Linked DNA regions of Canis lupus familiaris. The protein of the gene in region 4 purifies or fractionates together with the protein of the main gene of each other region. This does not show direct contact. Links are inferred from orthologs where the notes say so. Each region holds a gene or a part of one and is shown on either strand. Other genes may lie near its edges. The genes, in order: IPO9, PSMA5, RAN and AKIRIN2.

The links.
Region 1: the proteins of AKIRIN2 (region 4) and IPO9 purify together in Homo sapiens (affinity purification with mass spectrometry; 3 studies listed by BioGRID and IntAct, counting the BioPlex papers as one, with this or other methods). This does not show direct contact. The link is inferred for Canis lupus familiaris from reciprocal best matches to the Homo sapiens genes AKIRIN2 and IPO9.
Region 2: the proteins of AKIRIN2 (region 4) and PSMA5 purify together in Homo sapiens (affinity purification with mass spectrometry; 3 studies listed by BioGRID and IntAct, with this or other methods). This does not show direct contact. The link is inferred for Canis lupus familiaris from reciprocal best matches to the Homo sapiens genes AKIRIN2 and PSMA5.
Region 3: the proteins of AKIRIN2 (region 4) and RAN purify together in Homo sapiens (affinity purification with mass spectrometry; 3 studies listed by BioGRID and IntAct, counting the BioPlex papers as one, with this or other methods). This does not show direct contact. The link is inferred for Canis lupus familiaris from reciprocal best matches to the Homo sapiens genes AKIRIN2 and RAN.

Annotation. Positions count from the first base shown.
Region 1 is NC_049228.1:1,203,243-1,208,439, forward strand, and holds part of IPO9 (importin-9), read right to left. Parts: intron 5,101-5,197; coding exon 4,825-5,100; intron 4,561-4,824; coding exon 4,394-4,560; intron 3,788-4,393; coding exon 3,654-3,787; intron 2,994-3,653; coding exon 2,871-2,993; intron 2,442-2,870; coding exon 2,337-2,441; intron 2,128-2,336; coding exon 2,051-2,127; intron 1,600-2,050; coding exon 1,489-1,599; 3' UTR 1-1,488. UniProt on the Homo sapiens protein: Nuclear transport receptor that mediates nuclear import of proteins, such as histones, proteasome and actin. Serves as receptor for nuclear localization signals (NLS) in cargo substrates.
Region 2 is NC_049227.1:42,890,877-42,896,073, reverse strand, and holds part of PSMA5 (proteasome subunit alpha type-5), read right to left. Parts: intron 4,566-5,197; coding exon 4,439-4,565; intron 2,189-4,438; coding exon 2,121-2,188; intron 781-2,120; coding exon 673-780; intron 532-672; coding exon 473-531; intron 1-472. UniProt on the Homo sapiens protein: Component of the 20S core proteasome complex involved in the proteolytic degradation of most intracellular proteins. This complex plays numerous essential roles within the cell by associating with different regulatory particles.
Region 3 is NC_049247.1:1,620,307-1,625,668, forward strand, and holds RAN (GTP-binding nuclear protein Ran), read right to left. Parts: upstream 3,126-5,362; 5' UTR 3,114-3,125; coding exon 3,078-3,113; intron 2,970-3,077; coding exon 2,885-2,969; intron 2,812-2,884; coding exon 2,686-2,811; intron 1,858-2,685; coding exon 1,670-1,857; intron 1,501-1,669; coding exon 1,330-1,500; intron 1,235-1,329; coding exon 1,190-1,234; 3' UTR 1,176-1,189; downstream 1-1,175. UniProt on the Homo sapiens protein: GTPase involved in nucleocytoplasmic transport, participating both to the import and the export from the nucleus of proteins and RNAs. Switches between a cytoplasmic GDP- and a nuclear GTP-bound state by nucleotide exchange and GTP hydrolysis.
Region 4 is NC_049233.1:47,344,102-47,349,934, forward strand, and holds the start of AKIRIN2 (akirin-2), read right to left. Parts: upstream 3,644-5,833; 5' UTR 3,540-3,643; coding exon 3,305-3,539; intron 1-3,304. UniProt on the Homo sapiens protein: Molecular adapter that acts as a bridge between a variety of multiprotein complexes, and which is involved in embryonic development, immunity, myogenesis and brain development.

The DNA.
Region 1 (5,197 bases), on a different chromosome or scaffold from region 4:
TGTACAGGAAATGCCCTACGAGTGTGGTCTTTTCCTCAAGAACAGGCTTAAATTCATTTGATAGTCTGCTTCTTGTTTGCAGGAACGTCAACGTCTAGAAATCTGTAGCTGCTAAATCTGGGCACCAGGTATGGGCACTGCCAAAACGGGAGTGCTGGGCTTTGTCTTCCTCCCTTTGTTATCCTCATTCACTTTGTGAACATACAACAGACTGAAATTCCCAATTAAGGGACCTCCCTTAAAAATACTTGATTGGGGCACCTGGGGGGGGGGGTTCAGTGGTTTGAGTGTCTGCCTTTGGCTCAAGTACTGGGATCGAGTCCTGTGGCGGGCTCCCCACAGGGAGCCTGCTTCTCCCTCTGCCTCTCTCTGTCTCTCATGAATAAATAAATAAAATCTTTAAAAAAAAATCTTGATTGGACGATACCAGTTCTCTAAGAGTCATTTTGCTCGAGCTAGGTTACCTAGGACACACTAGGGTGTCTACATGGCTCCGCCTAATCTTTTTTTCCTTACTTTTATTTTCCTTCTAAAAGGAACAGAAGGCAGATGTGCTGGGACACCTTATACCATGCGGACTAAATTCATTTGTAAAGATTACTTTACTCTCCTAGAAAAATACACATTGCAAATTTGAGGGCTACAACTTAACCACTTTAGAGGATTCCTGAGGGAGAGGGGGTAACCTTTGAATATCAGACTGTGTGGTGATGTGTGGGAGAGGAATATTAAATATAGTTGGGTCAGGAGGACTTTAAAAAATGTTTTTCCCATTTTTTTTTTTTCCTAAAAAAGGAAAAACAAATTGCCATCTGTCTGGCTTATTTTGTGTGTGTGCATGTATACGCAGGAATAGCTTGGGGGGAGGTGCTGAATCATGCAATGAGGCAAAACCAAGATGACGTCCTTTGACAGGGGAACCTTAGTGTTGTAGGAGGGAGACAAGGAGAGGTCACTGGAGAGGGCTCAGAAGGTAGCTGCTCCCCTCGTTCCTATGGAGAACCCAGAGCATCTGTGGTGGAGGGCAGAAAGCACAATCATCTCTCAAGGGTATTCCTATCTGAATACCTCAGATGTCCTATGGAAGTAAACAGGTCTGTTTTAGAATATAAATGGTCATGACTTCCTGTGCTCCTGAGGTGGGGCAAAATAATCCATGAACACATAATCCTTCTGGGCAATATGTTTCGGGAGCGGCCAGCAGAGGACTCTAGGAACAGAAGTGGGGGCACAGTTGGGGAGAAAAAGGTCCTAGAGATGGAGTATCTTCAGGGGGACTTTGAGAAATGTCCTTTGTTCCAGTATTCCTAAGTGACAGCACTGGTGAGCTCAGTCTGAATTGTCAGTGTCACTCTGCAAAGGCCAAGGGCCGAGTCAGGAGGCCACTCTAGGTTGAAAAGAAAGTACATGTCGAGGCCAGTTAAGGGCTGCAAAATGGTTTGTGGCTGAGCCAGGAGGAGCAAATGTGGAAAGTCTCCATTTTTTTTTTTAGATGCCAATGGTCTGCAGAACCCGCCTCTCGTTGTCATTAAGGTGGCCTGAGAACATTATGTAGCAGGGCTGTTGAGCGAACTGGCAGAGGAAGTCCGTGAGATATGCCTGGAGGGAAGAAAAAGAGTGGCATTACTGAGGGTTCCCAGGCTCACCATCCACAGTGGGGCAAGCACAAGTGGTATAGGAAGCAGTGGCTCTGAGACAAATGCCAACACCCCGAGGGATGGCTTTCTACATTCTTGGATCTAGTTTAGGTTTAACCCAGGGACTCAATTCCGTAAGGAAATGAAATTTTCCCAACAGATCTCCTATTCTACCGGGAAGCCTTCACAAGACAGCTGGGGTTGCAAGAAACTGGACTGCCATACTGGTAGGAATAAAATGCTAAGGTGCAAAGTCCCAGTCCACCCAGAGTCCTTGACTATTCAGCAGGACAGGAACTCTCTGCCCTGAAGCTCTCAGGACAAACTACGAATGAGTGTGAGACCATATTCCTGTTTCCGTGGCTTGAGACATTGTCACTTGCAAGACATCTATCTTCTCTGGACATTCTCACCTGCAGATCAATCTGATAGAGAGGATCCTTCAGGGCATCAGGGTCATCTTCCTCATCATCCTCGTAGTAATCCTCCTCTGTTAGACACAGTCACCACAGAGAGGGGTCAGGGCAGAAGCTCGGGCCCCAAGCGGGAAGGCATCACACGGCTAGGGTAGATGGGCTAAAGAAGCCCAAGGTACATCCCTTGTAGGCCCACCTCCCCCCTTCCTTTGGCACCCTGCCTCTTGGGACCAGTGCACAGAAAAGGTACATAGCATGGCTGCCCTCTTCTCAAATGGCTTACCATATTTACTTGTAGCAAGAATGTCAGATAAGAGTTGGCCAGCTAAACCATCCTCTTCCTCCTCTTCATCTTCCTCCTGGTCCTCCCACATATCATTGGAGTCATCTACTCAGAGATGAAAAGCAGCTGGAACATGCTCACACATTGTCCCTTCCCAAATGCAAACAAGCCAGAACGGAAAGGTCCCATGGGTTTCCGTAATGTGGCCCTATGGTCAAGCCCTCACAGTAAGTTTAAATGGAAGAACCGAGGGTGTTCAGGTGGGTAGATAAAAGGTTGAGAAACTCCTAAGAAAAACCATACAGGAAGGGCTAACTAGCCTGCCTCCTAGCTACAGCACACCCCAGCCTCTGAAGAGATTTCACAAGGCAGACCTGAAGAGGTCTTCACGTGCATAGCAGTGCTAGCCACATGACAGGCATGATACAAACATTTAAAAAAAAAACAGTAATTCAATAAACCAAATTGATGATTTGAACATTTGTAACTTGATCTGCTAGGCTAACAGTCTGCTGGGAGTAAGAGCCAGTGCACCTTGATTCCACTCTGCAGGAGTGGCCTGGCGTGCGGCGTTGGCCTCCATGACGTTGGAGAGCTCATTGATGATCAGCTTCAGGATCTTGACCAGCAAAGGAATGTTTGTCCAGCGCTCAGGGTCTGGAAAAGAAAGGAAAGGCTTCTAGGAAGACTGTCACTGTGCTAACTTCTGGCACTGCTCACTGGACACAGTTTACCAGCCCTCAGGCTTTCCACCATCCCAGACTATATCCAGCTGCCACACAACAATTTAAAGTTAAATAACTCCATTCTGCTTGGTCTAAGAGTTCAGAAGTTAGGACAGATAAGAGAGTTCAGGAATTAAAGGAGATAGAAAATGGTTTTTGCTGGTAATAAAGCTTGGACACCAAGTAACTGTAGAGAGTGCAATACTCCAGTGCCCATGACTTGCAGTTTGAGAAACAGCAGAGGTGATTATAAACCTACGGCTGAATAGGGCAGCTTCGCACCTGCTGCCTACAAATCACTAAAATCATAGGCCAAAAGCAATCCGATAACAAAGACATGCTGAAATGGGTATCAGAGCCCCCGAATGAAGCTGGAAGCTGGGGTACCTAAGATTGTTTTTGCCAATTTCCAGCAAGAGGAAGGAGCCGTATGTTCTGATCCCTTTTTTACCTATAGTTTTGTTTCTTTTTATCAAACCCATCACTAACAATTATGTTTAAAAAAAAAAAAAACTAGATTACAGTACATCCCTGCCTTCCACCCCACTTTAGCCCCTAGGGAGGGGACTGGAGGGGCAGCAGCATCACCCACTTTTGGCTGACTTAGAGCGGGTGCGGATGCCCTCATCCATGCTGTAGATCTCCTCTCCCTTCACGCGGATATCCTGTAGCCGTTTGTCATCTGCATTGATGCCATGCTGGAGCAGTTTACACAGTGCCACAGAGCTGGCAAGGAAGAGCCAAAAAGGGTCAATCAGCAACCCATCTAGAGTTTATTCCAAGGAGATAAGCAATTAAGTCCTAAGACTCTTGATTGGTGAAAATTCTGTTCACAACTAATTACAAGAGATAAGAGGGTTCAGCTGAAAATGAGATTTAGTGTTCACGAAGATGGCCTAATGAGAACTTTTGAACTTCTTAAACAAAGCTGGGGGGGGGGGGGGGGCAAGGATCACAATGGCTGGCCACCTGGAAAGTGCAATGCGGTAATGAGAACCAGTGGGAAGCAAGTCTAAGATAGAAAGTTAGCAAGCCAGGGTTAGAAGGCTTGGGTTTATAAAGGAGAATAAGCCACTAGCAGTGCTTGGCTTGAAGTCTGGCAGAGGAGGATCTCTAGGCAGCAGAGAGGAAAAACAAGCACGGTCTACCTGTGACTATGTTTTGGAAATTCGAGATGGCAGCTATTCAAAGACACCGACTAACAATAAAGATACAGAGGGAAAGGGAATACAAGGGGCAGTTTGACATGTTGAGCAAAAATCAATGAAGCAAGTCAGAGAAGGAAGAAATGCAAGGAGAGGCGGAATGCCCACAACAGAAAGACGGCCCTACCTGACTTTGCCTTCATACTGTCCATAGAACAGATGCTGTCGGCTCGTCCATTCAGCCATTACAAACTCCAGGGCGGGTTTGCCAGTAGGTCCCGGGAGGCTGCACAGGAACTCCAAGAGGGGTTCCAGCTGAGTGTGCACCAGATGGGCGAACACCATGATCAGAGACTAGGAGGCAACAAGAAGGACATCTGCTTCAGGGAAACCAATGTCAGAGACTTGGGAGATGAGAGGGAATGGGGCCAGCCAGGCAAGAACTAGAGGACACGGAGACTTCCCTGTCAGTATTTCTTGGGCTAGAACACACAGGTGTTACTTAACTGTTGTCTAAGGACAGTATGACAGTAAAAACACCTCGGGACCTGTATACTGATTTCCATCTCTACCACCTGGAGGTTGGTTGGGAAAGCCCAACTCCCACTGTCCTCTTACCTGCATGACACTGAGCGTCTCTGCCTGCTGCATCTTACTGAGGATGGCACGAAGAATCTGGTCCAGATTTTCCCCCAGCTCCCGCCCTGCCTTGGAGATGAGGGTGGAGACAAGGCGACCCACAAAGGCCGCAGTGAACTCTGAGGTACGGGGGTCCAGGAGTTGGCTCACCACTTGCATCACGTACCACAGCCCATTGTGGCCCTGCTCGTCGTGCCACTGGGCCACCTGCTCCAGCGTCACTGACACGTAAGCTCGCAAGCACTCTCCACCATTCTGGGGAGACAAAGGTGGCAAACAAGATTAGCAACAGTGGGAACAGATGTCAGGAGGCCCTCAGTCTGTACGGGCAAATGTTATTCTTAGAGGCTTA
Region 2 (5,197 bases), on a different chromosome or scaffold from region 4:
GAATATAAATGCTTGGCTCTGCAGCCAGGAAACCACCAAAATACTGAGGCACAGGTCCAAAGACATTCTGTGCCTAGAGAACCAGATCTTTCAAAAAGCGTTTAATAAATTCCTCAGAGATTCAGAAGTACAGATGATATAAATATTGCACCTGAGTAGGCTTACCTAAATAATATTTGAGAATAAGGAGCAAATCAATGTTCTAAAACAAAGCTCTAAAATGCATCCTGACCATAGTAACAAAGTTACTTTTAATTCTTCCCAGAATTAGCAGTGGTGTCAATAGTTTTTCATAGAATCCTCAAATTTGTCTTTCTATATAAAGAGCACACAATCACTGAACTTTAGAGTTAGACGCCCCTCATTTTCTGTAATTCTATAATAATCTTCTCAGTTGATTTAAGCAAGTCCCCAACCCAAATTAAAAATTCTACCAAAAAAGAAACAGGAAAAAATGGCAAATTATTCTTACAGCTGAGGTCCTTTCTCATCAACTCCTCCAAATAACAGTGCTACTCCAAAGGGACGAGACTAGAACCAAAAAACAAGAGGTCTTAAGATAAATGGCTATTGAAGTAGGCGGTCAGAGGGGCTGAGAAAGGTATGTTCAGAAGACAAATATCCTGCATCCCTTAGAACAGCAAGAAAACTTGACACAAACACCACACTCACCATGGCACCTGGATCTGCATCTTCTTCACCAAACTGTAGAGCTAGATTGGACACAGCTTGAGTCACACTTTCCACTGTCATTGTCTCATTGTAGGTGAACCAATGGTTCTAGAAGAAGAGCAAAATGTGGTCTACCTCTTCTTCTTCTTCTTTTTTTTTTTGTTTAAAGATTTATGTATTTATTTGAGAGAGAGAGCACATGTGGTGGAGGGCAGAGAGGGAAAGAGAATTTCAAGCAGACTCCCTACTGAGCACAGAGCATGATGTGGGGCTCACTCCCACAATACTGAGATCATGACCTGAGCTGAAATCAAGAGCTGGACGCTTAACCAATTGAACCACGCAGGTGCCCCTAAAACAGTCTACCTTTTAAATAAGAAAAGCATTAAAGCAGCCCACCATCCCACTACACACATCCCTGTGAACTGTGATTGTAAACTGAATGCTCAGCTCCATTTCGTTTTCCTTAACACTAAACTCAAATGCTTGGGACTACATGAGAAAGAGAAATAGCTCTGCAAATAAACTCTGATCAAAAGGACTCTTAAGTAATGACAGACTAGAGGATGACTCCATTGAAAACCAGTTAACCCCTCATATAACCAAACTTAGTCTTTGCACAAAGTGAATGCTAACAGTTAAGTGCCACTTTCCCTCACAGACCTTATCTCATCATTGTGTTTATTGGTGTTTAAATTTTTTTTTAAAGCTTTTATTTATTTGAGAGAGAGCATGCATGATGAGCAAGGCAGGGTGGGGGAGAGAGGAGAGAGAAAGGGAGTAGCAGACTCCCCATTGAACAGGGAGCCCCACGTGGGGATCAATCCCAGGACCCTGGGATCATGACCTGAGCCACAGGCAGATGCTGAACCAACTGAGCCACCCAAGTGCCCCACTGGCGTTTAAATTAATGACTTACTTGTATATAAGTCTGACAGCAAAGTTGAAAATAAATGCAAAAAAAATTTTACCAATCAGATTTTTTCTTACTGGTCTATTCTCCAAGCAGAAAATATCAGTATTCCTGATCAGTATCTGTCACCTGGAACCATAATATTACTTGCCACAGGAGAGCTGTTATTTGCAAGCCCAACACCAAAGCAGTTGGGATAGAATGCTCTTTAGCTACATCCACTTCTTGCTATGGTGCTCCCACAAAAAGTCAATTAGGGAACAGAAGGCAGTGTAAAGCTTGCTTTATATAAGGCAAATCAAAAAGAAGCAAGAGACTGTCAGCACTATTTGTCAGCTTCCTTAAAGCTGCAATGGTTGGATGGCTAGACCCCAAGCCTCAGAAAGTTATAAACTAGGGATTCTATCCAAAACCACTCCCAACAGCTACATTTGACATTAACACAGATAACCCGCAAGATAGCCCAGGCAGCTATATCGTCATTAACAAGGAACTCAAGCATCATGGTAAAAAAGAGAGATGATGCTAATTTTACCTGTGTCTCCACTCTGGCTTTATCAATTAAAGTCTTAGCATCAGCAATTAGCCCACTCATGGCACAACCTGCAATGTAAAAGCAATAGTGACCCAGGGGCCAAATCCTTGCAGACTCTTTCATCCACTCAGGAAGTAACTGAAATACTGAAATGGAATCATGGCAGCCATATAGCAATCCCATGGCAATATACCCAAGAGACAGATGGGAAATTATTTGATTATCTGTACTGAACACAAATAGAATTATATTACAAATAAATAAAAAACCACCCACAATAACACAGAAGTCCAATAAGATAGAAGACAGAAAAGAACAGCCAAACAAACATGATTTTCCACATATTACATCCTTAAGCATCCCTTTAGCACTTTGTGACCACAATGCACTTTCAAAATAAGCAAACACTAGTATTCCAACAGAAGAAATAAAGATAAAAAAATAACCATCTCACTATGAGCTATGGTGAAAGACCCTATGATAAAATCAAAAGCTTTTTCATCTTTCTGACCAAATACAAACCACATAGTTTAGAGAGAAAGTTTACCTAACGGTCCAAGATGCCAAAGTTATGGCTATTACTTTATATGCCATGACTCAAACTCTGTATCTCCAGCCTAAGCCTTATTCCCACATTTCAAACCTAGCTTAATATCTCCTTGGACGTACCACTGACTCAAATCAAGTTCTTTCCCTTCTAGACTCCTTGGCCCTCACAACCAATCAGACCCCAAATTCTATCAATCTCTATCAAATTGACCTGTCTGGCATTAATCCTACTTTCTCCATTCTCTGGCTACTGCTTTGGTTAAGGCCCTCATTATTTCCATGTGGATTAAAGGAAATTTCTTACGTGGTCTCCCTGTTTCCAGTCTCAAATCCCTTCACTCTACCATGCAACCTTGTTAATCAGAATGGCCTTTCTAAAATATTCATCTGATCATATTACCTCAATGCTTAAAATCTTTCTCATCAATGCAAAGGATCAAGTTCAATCTCTTTAGCATAATAATAAAAAGAACTTCCAACTATCTGATCCCAAGCTCACTTCTTGCTATAGTCTGCCTCCCAATTATACCAAACTGTTTGTGCCAACGTATTCCATATTTTACACCATCAAGGGTTTCTATTCTCTCTAACCACAGTGCTCTCCCTTGCTATACCCAAACACTTGTTCACTTGAACACTTCCTGATCTTTTGCAATTCAACTCAGCTCAAGCTTCACCTTTATAGAATCCTTTTCTCAACACCCACTACCACTGGCTCCAGACAAAACTAATTATTTCCTCCTTTGTACCCCTACTGAGCACATACTATAGCCTTTCTTAATACCTTATATCACTCAACTGCATATTCTTATTTACATGTCCACCTTCACCATTAGGCTGTATGCTTCTGAAATACAAGGACTATGTCTCATTTCTCTCTGTATCCCTGATGACTAGCATGTATCTGGCACACGGTAGGTTCTCAATTTGCTAAAGTGACACTGATCTATCTCCAAAAGACAGGTGACTTGAGTTAAAATAGAAACAATGTTCTAATCTTAAAAGATTAAATCTTAGTTTCTATATCCATGAAAGAAATAATGTCAAGCTCTCAGAGTCACCAGGGCATTTGGTTCTAAGGCCTTCAAGTAATTATTTTACTGATTTTACTGATGTTTCATTAATAAGATGACTAGTAGGTTAAGAAAATTTGGACAGCCAACTAAAATACCACGCTATAAATAAGCAGAACTACTCACCCTGTAATACTATAATGATGCCAGAAGCTAAGGCAGGAGAATTTAAACAGAGACCAAAAAAAAAAAAAAAAAAAAAAAGTGCTGCGGTGTGGGTGAGGGATGTAGAGGGTGACAGAGAGTAAAAAGATAAATCTGAAAACAGAGGAAGAGGACGGATCTGCTCAAATATTCTTATGCTCTCTGAACCTTAGTCACCCTAAAGAGCTTTAAGAATTCCTCTTTTTAGTGGACATCTCTAGTTTTCCACATGATCACTCTCATGGTTTTCTATCAGGATTAACATTATGCATCACTGAAGACCCAATCATAGGGAGCTGGCCGATTCAACCTTTACATAGTTCAACAACCATCATAACATGCCAAGTCTAAATTTGAAGGAGAAAGGAACTTCTGGGAGTAGGTGAGCTCTACAGCTGCTTCCTACTATTATATTATGCACACTGGCCTACTACCTGAAAAACCATAGCTAACAAAGGAATAAGATATTCATCTAATATGCACCTCCCTTGGAAAGCCAAAGAAGACTAACCCAAGCCAGATCCTACAGAACGGCTTTCCCCTACTCCTTACCTATGTGAGCATCGATCTCTACAATTTTCTCAATGCTGCTTGGCTCCATGAGTGGGGAGGTAATTCTCTTCTCCACAGCTAGGCACACACCCTCTGATGTCTGGATCCCAATGGCTGTAGAACCAAGCTAAAAAGAAACGTGTTATGGTTATCGTGTACAGGTTAAAGAACAGTCTCACATACTCACCAGGGATCTCTCTGAATAACTTCACAAGACAGAAGTTTCAAGTCATATCTAGTATGCAGACCCCTAATAAGTAATGTAGTATTCCTATCTATGGCAAGAGCACTAATTTACAGAATTTTGTTCTTCTAACGGGAAAGTTCACTAAGTTCTTAAAAATATGTGGGAAAGGATCAACTCTAATGCCAATATTTTGGAGGAGCAGATTCTAAAGTTCTAAACAGGCATGCAAAAAAACAATAAAACTCTAATGTTTTTCTTTTCACCTCTGCCATCTTGACTTGTCCCAAACACTATTATTTCTCAAATTTACGTGACCTCCAGAAAAATAATGTATTTTAAAAAGAAAAAAAAAAAAAAAAAAAAGGAAGAAAAAAGAAATCGCAACACCCATTACCAACATAAAAATATTAACTTAATCTTTTGAGGTCACTAGCAGTTCACAATATAGCTTAATTTCATCTCTCCATTTCCATGGCACCATCCTAGTCACCACCCTCCTATATTTCTTTATCTGCAAAATACATCAAGAAGAATAAACATATTAATATATAAAAGGCTTAAAATGGTGCCTG
Region 3 (5,362 bases), on a different chromosome or scaffold from region 4:
ACAGTATAGCATCCATGGGGTCAAAACTGAAGACAGACTCCACTCGTTCTTAAATGTGTAAATCATACAAAGATAAATGGTTTGATCCAACGAAACCTTTGCAATGTTTCACGTTTCAAGAAGCCATTCTAAGATCTACTTTTCTATTTAGTGTTCGTGCCTTTGAATTGGCCACAAAAATCCTTCAGAAAAAAAAAAAAGCATCAAAGCTGTGAGATGCCCAACTTAAATCCTTACTCTTCAGCATCTTTAACACTCAGAAATACTTGAAAGCAGCGGGTAATCGTGGAACATCTTTCTAGAGTACCAGCTTCACATTAGACGTTAACATTAAAACAAAATCAAATCAATGCATAACTTACACTCATTTTTAACAAATGAGACTCCTGTCAAGTCCCCACCGTCATCTGTTATCGTTCTACCAGATTCTGAACATCCCTACATGAGAGCACGGTTACTGGTCACAAAATAATGTTAACTGTAATTCTTAAAATGCCTATCCGAAACGTCTAGTAGTTTTGTTCCAACAGGTCACAGAAGTCCAAAGCTCTTCCCCAGGTGACACCACCCAGTCTGAAGGCAGATGCGACGGGCATCGTTTTAGCTTCACCACGGATGCTCACCCCTCTAACAATCTACCAAACGGAATACTGCGGATGTCTGCCCTGTCACCTGTGTGAGAGGATCCAAATGTACAAATAGACAAGAACTTAACCTGCAAAGATTCAAATTAAGGGAGAATAGCAAAGGCCAGTTCAACAGTAACGTGGCACAACTTTTCCTGTTAGTGGTTTTAAGATGCTTACCAAACAAGGGAGGAGTTCATTGGCTTAGATATTTGAAATACAACTTTATTCTGATTCTAAACGAAAAGGAATGGGAATGACAGTGACAAACGAGATTTCACCACTGGATATTGTGATGGGACTGTAGCAGTCTCATTATCTGAAACTCAGGAAGGAAACAACTGCGTTCCAAAACAGCTAAGTATGCAGGTCCAAAAAAATGAAGGTACTGTTTAAACTGCCACATTCACTCCGAAGCCCATTCATCTCCTTCAGCATCCCAAAGATTAAGCACATGTTCTGCTCAGCTATATAATAAAAGTGGCAAACACGCTGCACCACTGACATCACAGGACAGTTGCCTATAAAACTAGACTTCTGACGCTGGCCTCCAGCTGCACTTCTCACAGGTCATCATCCTCATCCGGGAGCGCGGTCGTCTGAGCAACCTGGACAGAGACACAACGTCAGGACACCATGGGTTAGAGCCGTCAGGACACGGGACACCCAAGAGATCCCACTGACGGACCCATCTGCCACCTACCTCTAGATCGTGCTCGTACTGTGCTGCCAGAGCTGGATCCATGACCACCTCTGGGGGGGCAAGAGCAGGCATGGCGACAAACTCCAGGTTAGGGTCTCCAATTAGTTTTCTAGCAAGCCACAGGAACGGCTTCTCAAAATTGTAGTTACTTTTGGCAGAAATGTCATAGTACTGTTCCATAAAATAAAATAAGTTTTTAAAAATCTACTTCTTGAGGATCATTGAAATGTTTAAAACTAAAAATAGTTTTTCCATCCATACCACAGACACAATTTCCTTTAGTGGATCTATTACCGTAGTTTCATCTTAGAGAAAAACAATTAAGTTTTAAAAAACATACCTGAAGGTTCTTCTTTCGGTGGAAGACGATAGATTTTGCCTTAACTTTTCTGTCCTTAATATCCACTTTATTGCCACAGAGCACAATGGGGATGTTCTCACACACTCGTACCAGATCTCTATGCCAGTTAGGCACATTCTTGTAAGTAACCCTTGACGTTACGTCAAACATTATAATGGCACACTGGGCTGAAACAGATGTAGGAAAACTGTTACACATGTATGACTTCTTGCACAAATGAGGAATGCTAAGGAGCACGGGCTAGGGGACAGGCCCAATCTGGCTACCTCTGCTTCTGCACTCACTACACCCCAATGTCTCTCTCTTCCAAGTTTAAGGATCTCCAACCACTGTAATACGTAACAAGATTTAAAGTTTCATTTTCTGTGTGAGTGTGAACTACCAGCCTAGCTTATCAAATCTCTCCCGTAATACTTCATTAATTCCGTCCCATCCCAGAATCTCAAGTAGACTACCGATAGAGCAGCACCCTAAGACAACTGGTCTCCTCTATTCTGAGGATCTCAGAACCTGCTCTTTAAATGATCCTAAACTACACAAAAGAGTATGTTATTCTGCCTTAAAACACGCAGGCCTACATACTGACCTATGAGGAACACAATTCTAATATAATTGAGACAACAAACCGAAGTATGTACAGTCTAGGAGTTTCCTAATTAAACACTTTTTAAGAAGAGAAAAAAAAAGCTGTGTATCTGTAACATAGCAAAGGATGCAAAATATGGAAGGACTCCCAATCATCTTTCATCACAAGAGATCCCAGATGACATTTTCTTCCTGTCTTTATCTGCCACTCTACAGTGCCCTTGAGGGAAAAAAACAAGCAAAAAAACCCCCAACCAGCCCCAACGACTCCGGCAGCCACAGCAGCACCTCGTGGGATGCTCATTGTCTTAGGTGAGGAGCCCGCTCCGGGTCCCGGCTCCAGGCTCCAGGCTCGGCGCTGCGCCCATCATGACACAGCACGCGGCAGCCGCCGGCCCGCCCTCACCCACCTTGGATGTAGTAGCCGTCCCGGAGCCCGCCGAACTTCTCCTGGCCGGCGGTGTCCCACACGTTGAACTTGATGGGGCCCCTGTTGGTGTGGAACACGAGGGGGTGGACCTCCACGCCCAGAGTGGCTGCAACACAAGCACGGCCGTCAGGTCCGCTCGCGCCCCGCTCCCGGGGGCCCCCGCGGCTCCCCCCACGTACCTACATACTTCTTCTCGAATTCACCCGTCAGGTGACGCTTCACGAACGTGGTCTTGCCGGTGCCGCCGTCGCCAACCAGCACCAGCTACGAGACAGGACGCGGTCGCGGGGGGCGGGGGGGGGGAGGGGAGGCCCCGGCGCCCCCCGGGCCGCGCCGCCCCGCTCCCCCCGGCCGCCCCCGCGCACCACCCACCTTGAACTGGACTTGGGGCTCTCCCTGGGCAGCCATAGCGCTGGTGCTGCGGGGAGACAGACGTGGGACGGCTGGCGGCGGGGCCCGGGCCCACATGGCCGGCCCGCCCCACGTGCCCGGGCCCACAAAGGGGCTCCGGCGGCCGGGCCCCACGCGCGCACGCCCGGGCCGGGGCGGGGGCCGCGGCGCGCTCCCGGCGGCGGGCGGGCGGGCGAGCGGCGCTGCTCCGGCGGCGGGTCTGGCGGCGCGCCCGTGGGGGAGGGAGGCCGGGAGGCCGGGGCGGAGGCCGGCGCGCGGGGCGGAGGCCGGGGCCGCCCGGGGCCCCGATCGCGCGCCCCCCGGCCCGCGCCGCCCCGGGGCCGCCGCCCGCCCGGGCCCACCGCGACTGGCGTCCCGGCCACGGTCTTCGGTCTCTACGGCAGGGGACGGCGAGAGCCCGCCGCCGCCGCCGCCGCCGCCCCGGCCCGCACGACTGCCGCCCGGCCCCGGCCCCGGCCCTCGCCCGGCCCTCGCCCGGCCCCCGCCCGGCCCCCGACCCCCCGGCCCCCCGGCCCCCCGGCCCCTGGCCCCCGCGGCCCCCGCGGCCCCCGGCCCGGCCCCGCTGCCTTACCTTCCAGAAGCGTCTCCGGCCCGTCTGACTGAGGGCTGGAAGATGGCGGAAGCGCAATTCAAATGCCCGGAGACGCAGCCGACGCCGGCGCGCGCCGGGGGGGGCGGGGCAACGGCGCCGCGTCGCTCCCACGTGGCCCGGCGTGCGCGCGCACGCACGCCGCGGGCTCGGCCGGCCACACCCGTCGGCCGGGCGCGGAGGGGAGAGTCGCGGCGGGGCGGCAGTCGCGCTCGGCGCGGGCGCGCGGACGCACGCCGGCTCGCGGGGCCACGTGCGCCGGCCCAAGGGCGGGTTCCAGCGCGCGCATGCGCCGACGCCGACGCGGCGCGCCCAGCTGCGGCCGCGCCACGACACTGGGAGGAGAGCGCAGGCCTCTTGGGCGGGAAAGTCGCGGGGAGCGGCCGACACAAAGCCCCGGGCCTCCGGGCGTGGGGCCTCGCCGTGGGCGCGCGGGACGGTGCGCCGCGGGGGAAGCGGGCGCGTGCGGAGGCCTTGGGCCCTGCCCCTGTGGCCCTGCCCCTGTGGGCTCTCGCGGCACCCCGGGCGCTCCGACCCGCACCCTCTCCCGGAGCCGCCCGTCCATCTGCCACCTGCCTCCCCCGGGCCTCCATCACCCTCTCGGCCGCTTCCTGCGCCCCCGGCCCGGCCCGGCCCCGGCCCTTCCTCCCAGACCCCGGTCCGCAGAGCCTGCCCTGGGCCCCCGCCGCACCCCCTCCTCTCACCTGGACCCCGCGGGCCCCTGCCTTGTGTTTCAGGCCCCCCCACCGCCCACACCCGGTGTCCCTGGCTCCAGCCAAAACCTTACTTGGGGGTAAAGGGTGCAAAATCGATGCTTTTTCTCACCCTAAAAGGCAGCCACCCTTTTGTTAAAGCATTTCCTTGGTCAGCAGCCTTTGTGACTGTATCCTGCGCACAGGATGACGAAATCGTGTTTTCAAACCTGGCGGCTCGCATCCCAGTTACAAATTTGGATGCAATCGATGAGTATGTAGGTTCCAGACTGTGGAGACAATAAAGCTGGCAAGAATGCAGACGAGATCCATGCACTCAGAAGTCACATGCTGCTGGGGATGCCCACCTCGTAGGGCCGGTGTAGGCAGAAAGTAAGATGAGCCACAAGCTCAGCAAGTGTTGACAGTTAACTACTATTCATTCTCAGCAAGGAAGTGGGCCAAGTGGAGTCCTCTAACCTCTTACCCTAAATCTAGGGCCAGTTTTTGGCATTTGTGTGGACAGCCACAGATTCTCCATAACCCAGATCCTCTCGGCCCCCTCTGCAAGCAAACATCCGCACTCGCGGCAAGAGTAGTACCGCTGGTGGCCCCATCAGAGTAGTCTGGTTGCTCAGGAAGGATTCCACCGTGGGGACTCTTCCCAGAGCGCAGAGAACCCAGATGACGGAGGAGGAGTTAGCCACTTAGTCTTCAGTGCCCTTTGCAAGCAAACCTATTGGGAACACAAGTGATGCAAATTGGGCACAACACTTGGGCGAATCTGCCTGCTGGGAACTCCAATCCCACTGCTCTCCAGGACCCTCAGGAAAACACCAAACAGATCTCTATGCTGCTTGGGTGTGACCATTGCTTTGGCCTCTCTGGAAAGCAGGAACTGATAAAACATGAGTGCCGAGAGCTGGCGACCCTGTAACTTCCACTTCTAGAGAGATTCTCTGGAG
Region 4 (5,833 bases):
TGACATCCACAGAAGGATCTCCTTACCAAACCACTTATTCAGTACAATTATGAAAAACAATGTGTTTGATTTGACCGACAGTCTCTTGTAATGTTAGATGATATTTCAGTTTTATTAAAATAATTTGGTTCTTGGGAATGTTATGACAATCTTTGGCTAAGAGATAATATTGTGAGATGTTTCAAAAGCCAACAGAGAAGTATACAGAATGCACAGAATCTTTTCAACTAACTTACCAGGGTGAGTACTGATGCAGCTACTAGAGGTATTCATTTTTCCCAATCAGTCTACCCCCACCCCACCCTCATTCACTTTTCCCTTTTCACATCCCAGGTATTATAAACCTTACTGCTGACATCCTAGAAAGGCAGGAGTGGACACACTTTTTCTGTAAAGGATCAGACAGTAAATACTTGAGCTTTGGGAAAATACAGTCTCTATAACAAATACTAGCTCTGCAGTTGTAGCCTGCAATGAGCCATACTTTGGGGGGGGGGGGGGGGAAGAGAATGACCCTGGCTGGTTCCAATAAAACTTTTTTTTTTTTTTAACCAGCCCTTTCCTTTTCCCTGGCATTAAGTTGCAACAGTTTGAAAAATACAGATTTAAATAATTTAAATAACAGTCATCAAGTCAAACTTTCGAATCACCTTCCTGGGATGACTAAAATAAACTAGGGTTGAAATCCCAAGTTCCTCAAACTAGTAAAGCCAGAACATCATTTCAACTACACGTCAAAACACACTAAGTTTCCAGAAAAGAACAATGATAAAACAATAAATTATATGCATGTTCTGGAAAAAAAAATAATTTCAGTACTCTAGCTCTAAATTTTTAAATTACACTTGAACGGACAGAAATGAAAGGAAAACAAAGTTTCTGCAGAGTCCTAGTCAATCTCAACTTGGTAAATCACTTTCCATTTCCAACCCTAGCTATTTATTTCAGCCACAGATATACAGATATTTACTCTTGCAAAGTTTGAGAATCACCACTGTTAAAACAAAAATCTAAAAATTAAGTGCTTGGAAAAATTATTTCCAAGATTGGGGACATGATAACTGAAAAGGTCTTTTATACCTGCACAACACTGCAGCTCCCATTATGACATCATTACAAAAACCACACAGGAGCCTACCCAAGCTGGCCATCTAAAAACAAAAGCCAAATTAAACTTCATGTAGAATATCATTCAAAATTACAGTAAAAAAAAAAGTAAATTTTAGCAATTCAAAACTTTACAATCTCAACTGCTTTCCTCAAGTCAACTTTTTCTGTTAATACTCAAGTCGGTTGAAAAAATTAAATCTTTTAGCAGGCTCAAAATGATCAATTAGGCTGTGATTTTAAGAGTTCAGGATATGATCAAACTTCCAGAATAGATGTTAAAAACACCCCGAAGATGACAGCAATATTTTGGAAAACATGAATTTGAAACATCAGGCTTATTTAAACAATTTCAATTACTCCAGTCATTTACTAAATTATCATCCACTCAATTGAAATTTGAGACAATGTGGAGCCAACAGCATTAACCAATGCTACAAATGCATCAATGAAATGACAGATTTGTAAAAGATCACAATCCTGAATAAATTCCCTTTAAAGTGAAGACAAATATAGCTCCTGGCTGGTTAATCATATATGCTCAAGACTACTGCAGCATTGAGATATACTAAAGTATATCCCAAACCTAACACTAAACTCCCAAACCTAACACTGTATTAATTCACCGGCTCCCCTGAAATTTATAGCTAGTTAGCCAGGGCTATTTTTAAGTGGCCTTATTTGTTAAGTACGGATTCCTAGGTATCATTTCAATTTTCAGTATCATTTGACTAAAAAGACAAAAATCTAAAAATAATTTAATCACCAGCTCATAACACTGATTGTCTTTTAATGCAAAGCCTAACAGTCAATCAACCAATGCCTTTACATACAAGGCAGTTTAGGCAGAGTTACTAAATAAAACTGAGAATTCTTCTGAAAACTCTTTAAAACTCTAAAATAGTGTATCCTTAAGTTAGTCAAATATTTAATAGCAGAAATGGTAGCCTAGGCATTGAGGGTGTCCCTAAAAATCTGGGGAAGGATATTTAAAAACCTGACTTGAACGAAACAATTCCAAATGGAAGTTACCAAATATAGAGGTATATACTGCCCACGGGTTTTTTAAAAGCTGATAATAAAACACTTAAACTATGAAAAGGCTTTGTCTGCAAATGATATCACTAAAGGCTCAAATATGAAACCTTTGCATACTATACTCACAAAGAGATTTACACTACCAGTCCACAAAAAGCCTATCCTAGGACTGTGCCAGGGGCACACAAGGATTTTCAAAGTACAGAAAAAACTGGGCACACACACATGCAGTACAAAGCAGCCAAAAGGCATTTCCCCATAGTCACTTTCAGGAAATGTTTCAAGATGAAAAGCAAAGACAGTCTTAAGTGCCTTAGAGTCTTGGGTTGATTTCTTTATTACTCTCAAGGCCTAGGCTGTTCTCCACCCCCCCACCCCCCGCCACCCCACCGTACCCTGTTGAGAAATAAAGCACCTCCAACCAGAAGCAACTACTCAGGCCCAATTTTCAGTACAATTCGCTTTTCATTAAAAGTTCAAGTTTCTCAGGGTCTAGACGCATAGTACGATCATATTACAGTACTCGGGAAGAGCATTTTCTTTGTTGTTGACCCTGCTAGGGAAACAGGTCTTGACTCAGCCAAAGTGGCGTTCTTGTGGGTGATTAATGACAGGCCTAGATCTCGCCCCAGTGACATCCATCCCCACCCCCCACCCCCTCTGTACTAAAATCAGCCATGTCTGAACTGGAGGAGGGGCTGCTGCCTCGCCTCAAACCACCCAGTCCCACAGTTAAGGGCTGCGACCAATCGATTCGAGGAGACAGATATCGAGATTCGGGCGAAACGTTACTCTTCTCTCGCCTAAATTTATGAATAATATCACCCTCTCTGATCATTTCCGCTGGGGCTCTCCAGACTACGGAAACACTCCATTCCAGTCATTCAGCCCAAAGAAAAGGATCTTCCTCTTCCCCACAATACCCGGCAAGGCACAGCCCCTGCCCTCCCCACCTCCCGACTCCCCCACCCCTTTGACACCAGGCCACTTCTATTGTGTCGCCGGGGCCAGAGGACCCAACTGAAGAAATGCGGCCGCTCCACTGCTACTTCTGCGAAGGAGGACGGCCAACCCGGCAAGCCCATCCCTGGGGCCGGGTTCCGCGTCCCGGGACCCCCGTTCTCCAGCCCACCCCGGCGGCCGCGGGGCCGAGTCCCACCTGTGGTGAGGCGGGAGGAGACGTCGCCAAAGGGGGACGGCTCCATTCGGAGATACTTCTGCGGCGAGGCGGCGGCGGCCGAGAAGGAGGCGGCGGTGGCGGCGGCCGCCGCCGACGGAGAGGCAGCAGCCGAGGTGGGCGCCGACAATGGCGCACATCGCCTCCGCTTCGGGGACGCTGGGCTCAGCAGCGGGTCGAAATCCAGAGTCCTTTTCAGAGTGGCGCCGCACGCCATGGCCGGGGCAGCCGAGGCCGGACTCGGGTGGGGTCGGGGAGAGGTGACGGGAGGGGAGGGTGAGGGAAGCGGGGGGGGAGCGGGGACCCGAGGAGAGCCTAACCGACGGGCTCAAGAGCAGGAAGGCGGGGTGGTGCAGCGCCGGCGAGGACGCGAGAGCCGCCGCCGCCGCTGCCGCCGCGGCAGGGGCAGTGGCCGGGCCGGCCCAGGCGAGAGCGGGAGGGGCGGTGGCGGCCGCTCACGACAGCCGCGTCAGGGGGGCTCTTCCGCCTCCTCAGGCACAGCTCCCCCGGGAGAGGCTCCGGCCGCCCCCGCCGTCCGTTCGAGCTTTGCGCCGCGCCTGAGGCGCTCCTGCGCTGAGACCGGCTCCCTTCGGAAGTCGAAACCAGCCCCGTCAGGTATGAGGCTGGAACGCGGCCACGAGTAAGCCCGAGTAAGGTCAGCAGCTTGAGAGCGGCGGTCGATGTGGAGGGATTGCGAGGTGGAGGCGGCGGCAGGAGCTCAATCGAACACGTCCAGCCGCTTCCCCCTCCTCTGTACGACTATTCCACCCGCCGCCGGCCCCAATATGGCGTCAATAACAACGCCGCCGATTCAAATTCTGCGGCCTCAGGGCGCGTGCGCACAGGGGTGGCTACCCCGCAGGCGCATTCTGGGAGTTGTCGTTTTTCACTGTGGAAGGGAATCGGCGTGAAAAGCGATTAGGGAGGAGTCACGAAAACTACGATTCCCGTCATTCAAGGCGCGGCATTCCGAGTTCCGGGTTGGAATTTAAATCCCCTACACGGCTTGAGTGTAAAAGGAGCTAAGCAAAAGGGGAAAAGAGAAAAGCCTGGGAGAGACTGGAAGAGAGGAAAGCCAACTGATGCAGAAAATAGGCTTAAAAGACCTTGAAAATTCAGGACATAGTTGTCCTGATACCATTCCCACAGTGATTTAACAAATGGGAAATAGAAAACTTAGCCAACCCAACAGTTCAAGACAGATTAATTTCGGTAATAAGAGTGCCAAAAACAAAACCTGTCCCAATGAGAGGCTAGGAAATACTGAGATTATGGAACATACTTAGGACTGAAAGGGAGAGCAACATTATTAGTATCAGATTACAGGATCCTCGAGTGAACTGGATGCTTTGCCCTTCCCAGGTAGCTGCTTGCATCCATTTATTAAATTCTGCAAAACCAGGTTTACCCTGTAAACGAATAAATTTGAAAGAGTACAAAGCCAAATTATTTTGCTTTGGATAAAAGCGAGTGATACCAGAAATTGTATTATCTGTTGAATATTGTAGTATAGTATATCTTTTGAACTCTAAAAATTAAAAAATCATAATGAAATGTCTAAAGGAGTAGATAATGAACCCATTTTATAAGCAAAGAGGAAATTTTGTACTGCTACTCAGGTACCTAAAATAACAATCAAATACGGTAGTAATAATGTAAAAAATTGTCACCAGTCTTTTGCCTATGGAAGCTATCCCCAGTCCAATACAAAAACTAGTTATTGCCATATTCTCAAATGATCATGTGAATGCCATATTCTCTAATGATCTTGGATATCACTATACTAGTTTCAGTATAGTACTTATGTATTCCCATTGTCAATTTAGTAACTGAAAGACATTTCAACCATTTTGTCGATAATTCCTCATTTGTGACTAGTTTAATATATTCCTGTTTTATTGAATTGTTCAACACCTTAAAGATCAGCAGTTCTGATCACATTGTGTCAATGACTAAACTGCACTAATTTTATTTTAAAATATGTTGTTTGGGAAATATTTTTTTGAAAATCATCAGCATTTAATGAAACAATGGCTTAACTCTGACACCCAATAGGTAAATTTTTGCTGAATGCTAAACACCATGAAACATAAAACCTATGATATGAAATTAACAGAATACACATATTTTATGTAAATGAGTAGGAAAAGATAGATTAAGCTGTGGGAAGCAAATAACAAAGCATTTATATTCCTGATAAATATTTTCTGAAATTAAGACTCTACCTTAAGCTATACAACTTACTTGGAGAAGGGACTGTTAGGAATTAAATTGTGTTTTTTCAAAATTCCTATGTTCTTTTTTTTTTTTTTAAGTCCTATGTTCTAACCTCAGTATTTCCCAGTGTGAGATGTCCATATTTGAGAAGAAGGTTATTTCAAATATAACTAGTTAAGATGAGGCCATACTGGAGCAGGGTGGGCCCCTAATCTATTATAACTGGTACCTTAATAGAAAGGGGAAATTTGGAAACAGACAAGCATGAAAACATGAAGATGCATCTATAAACCA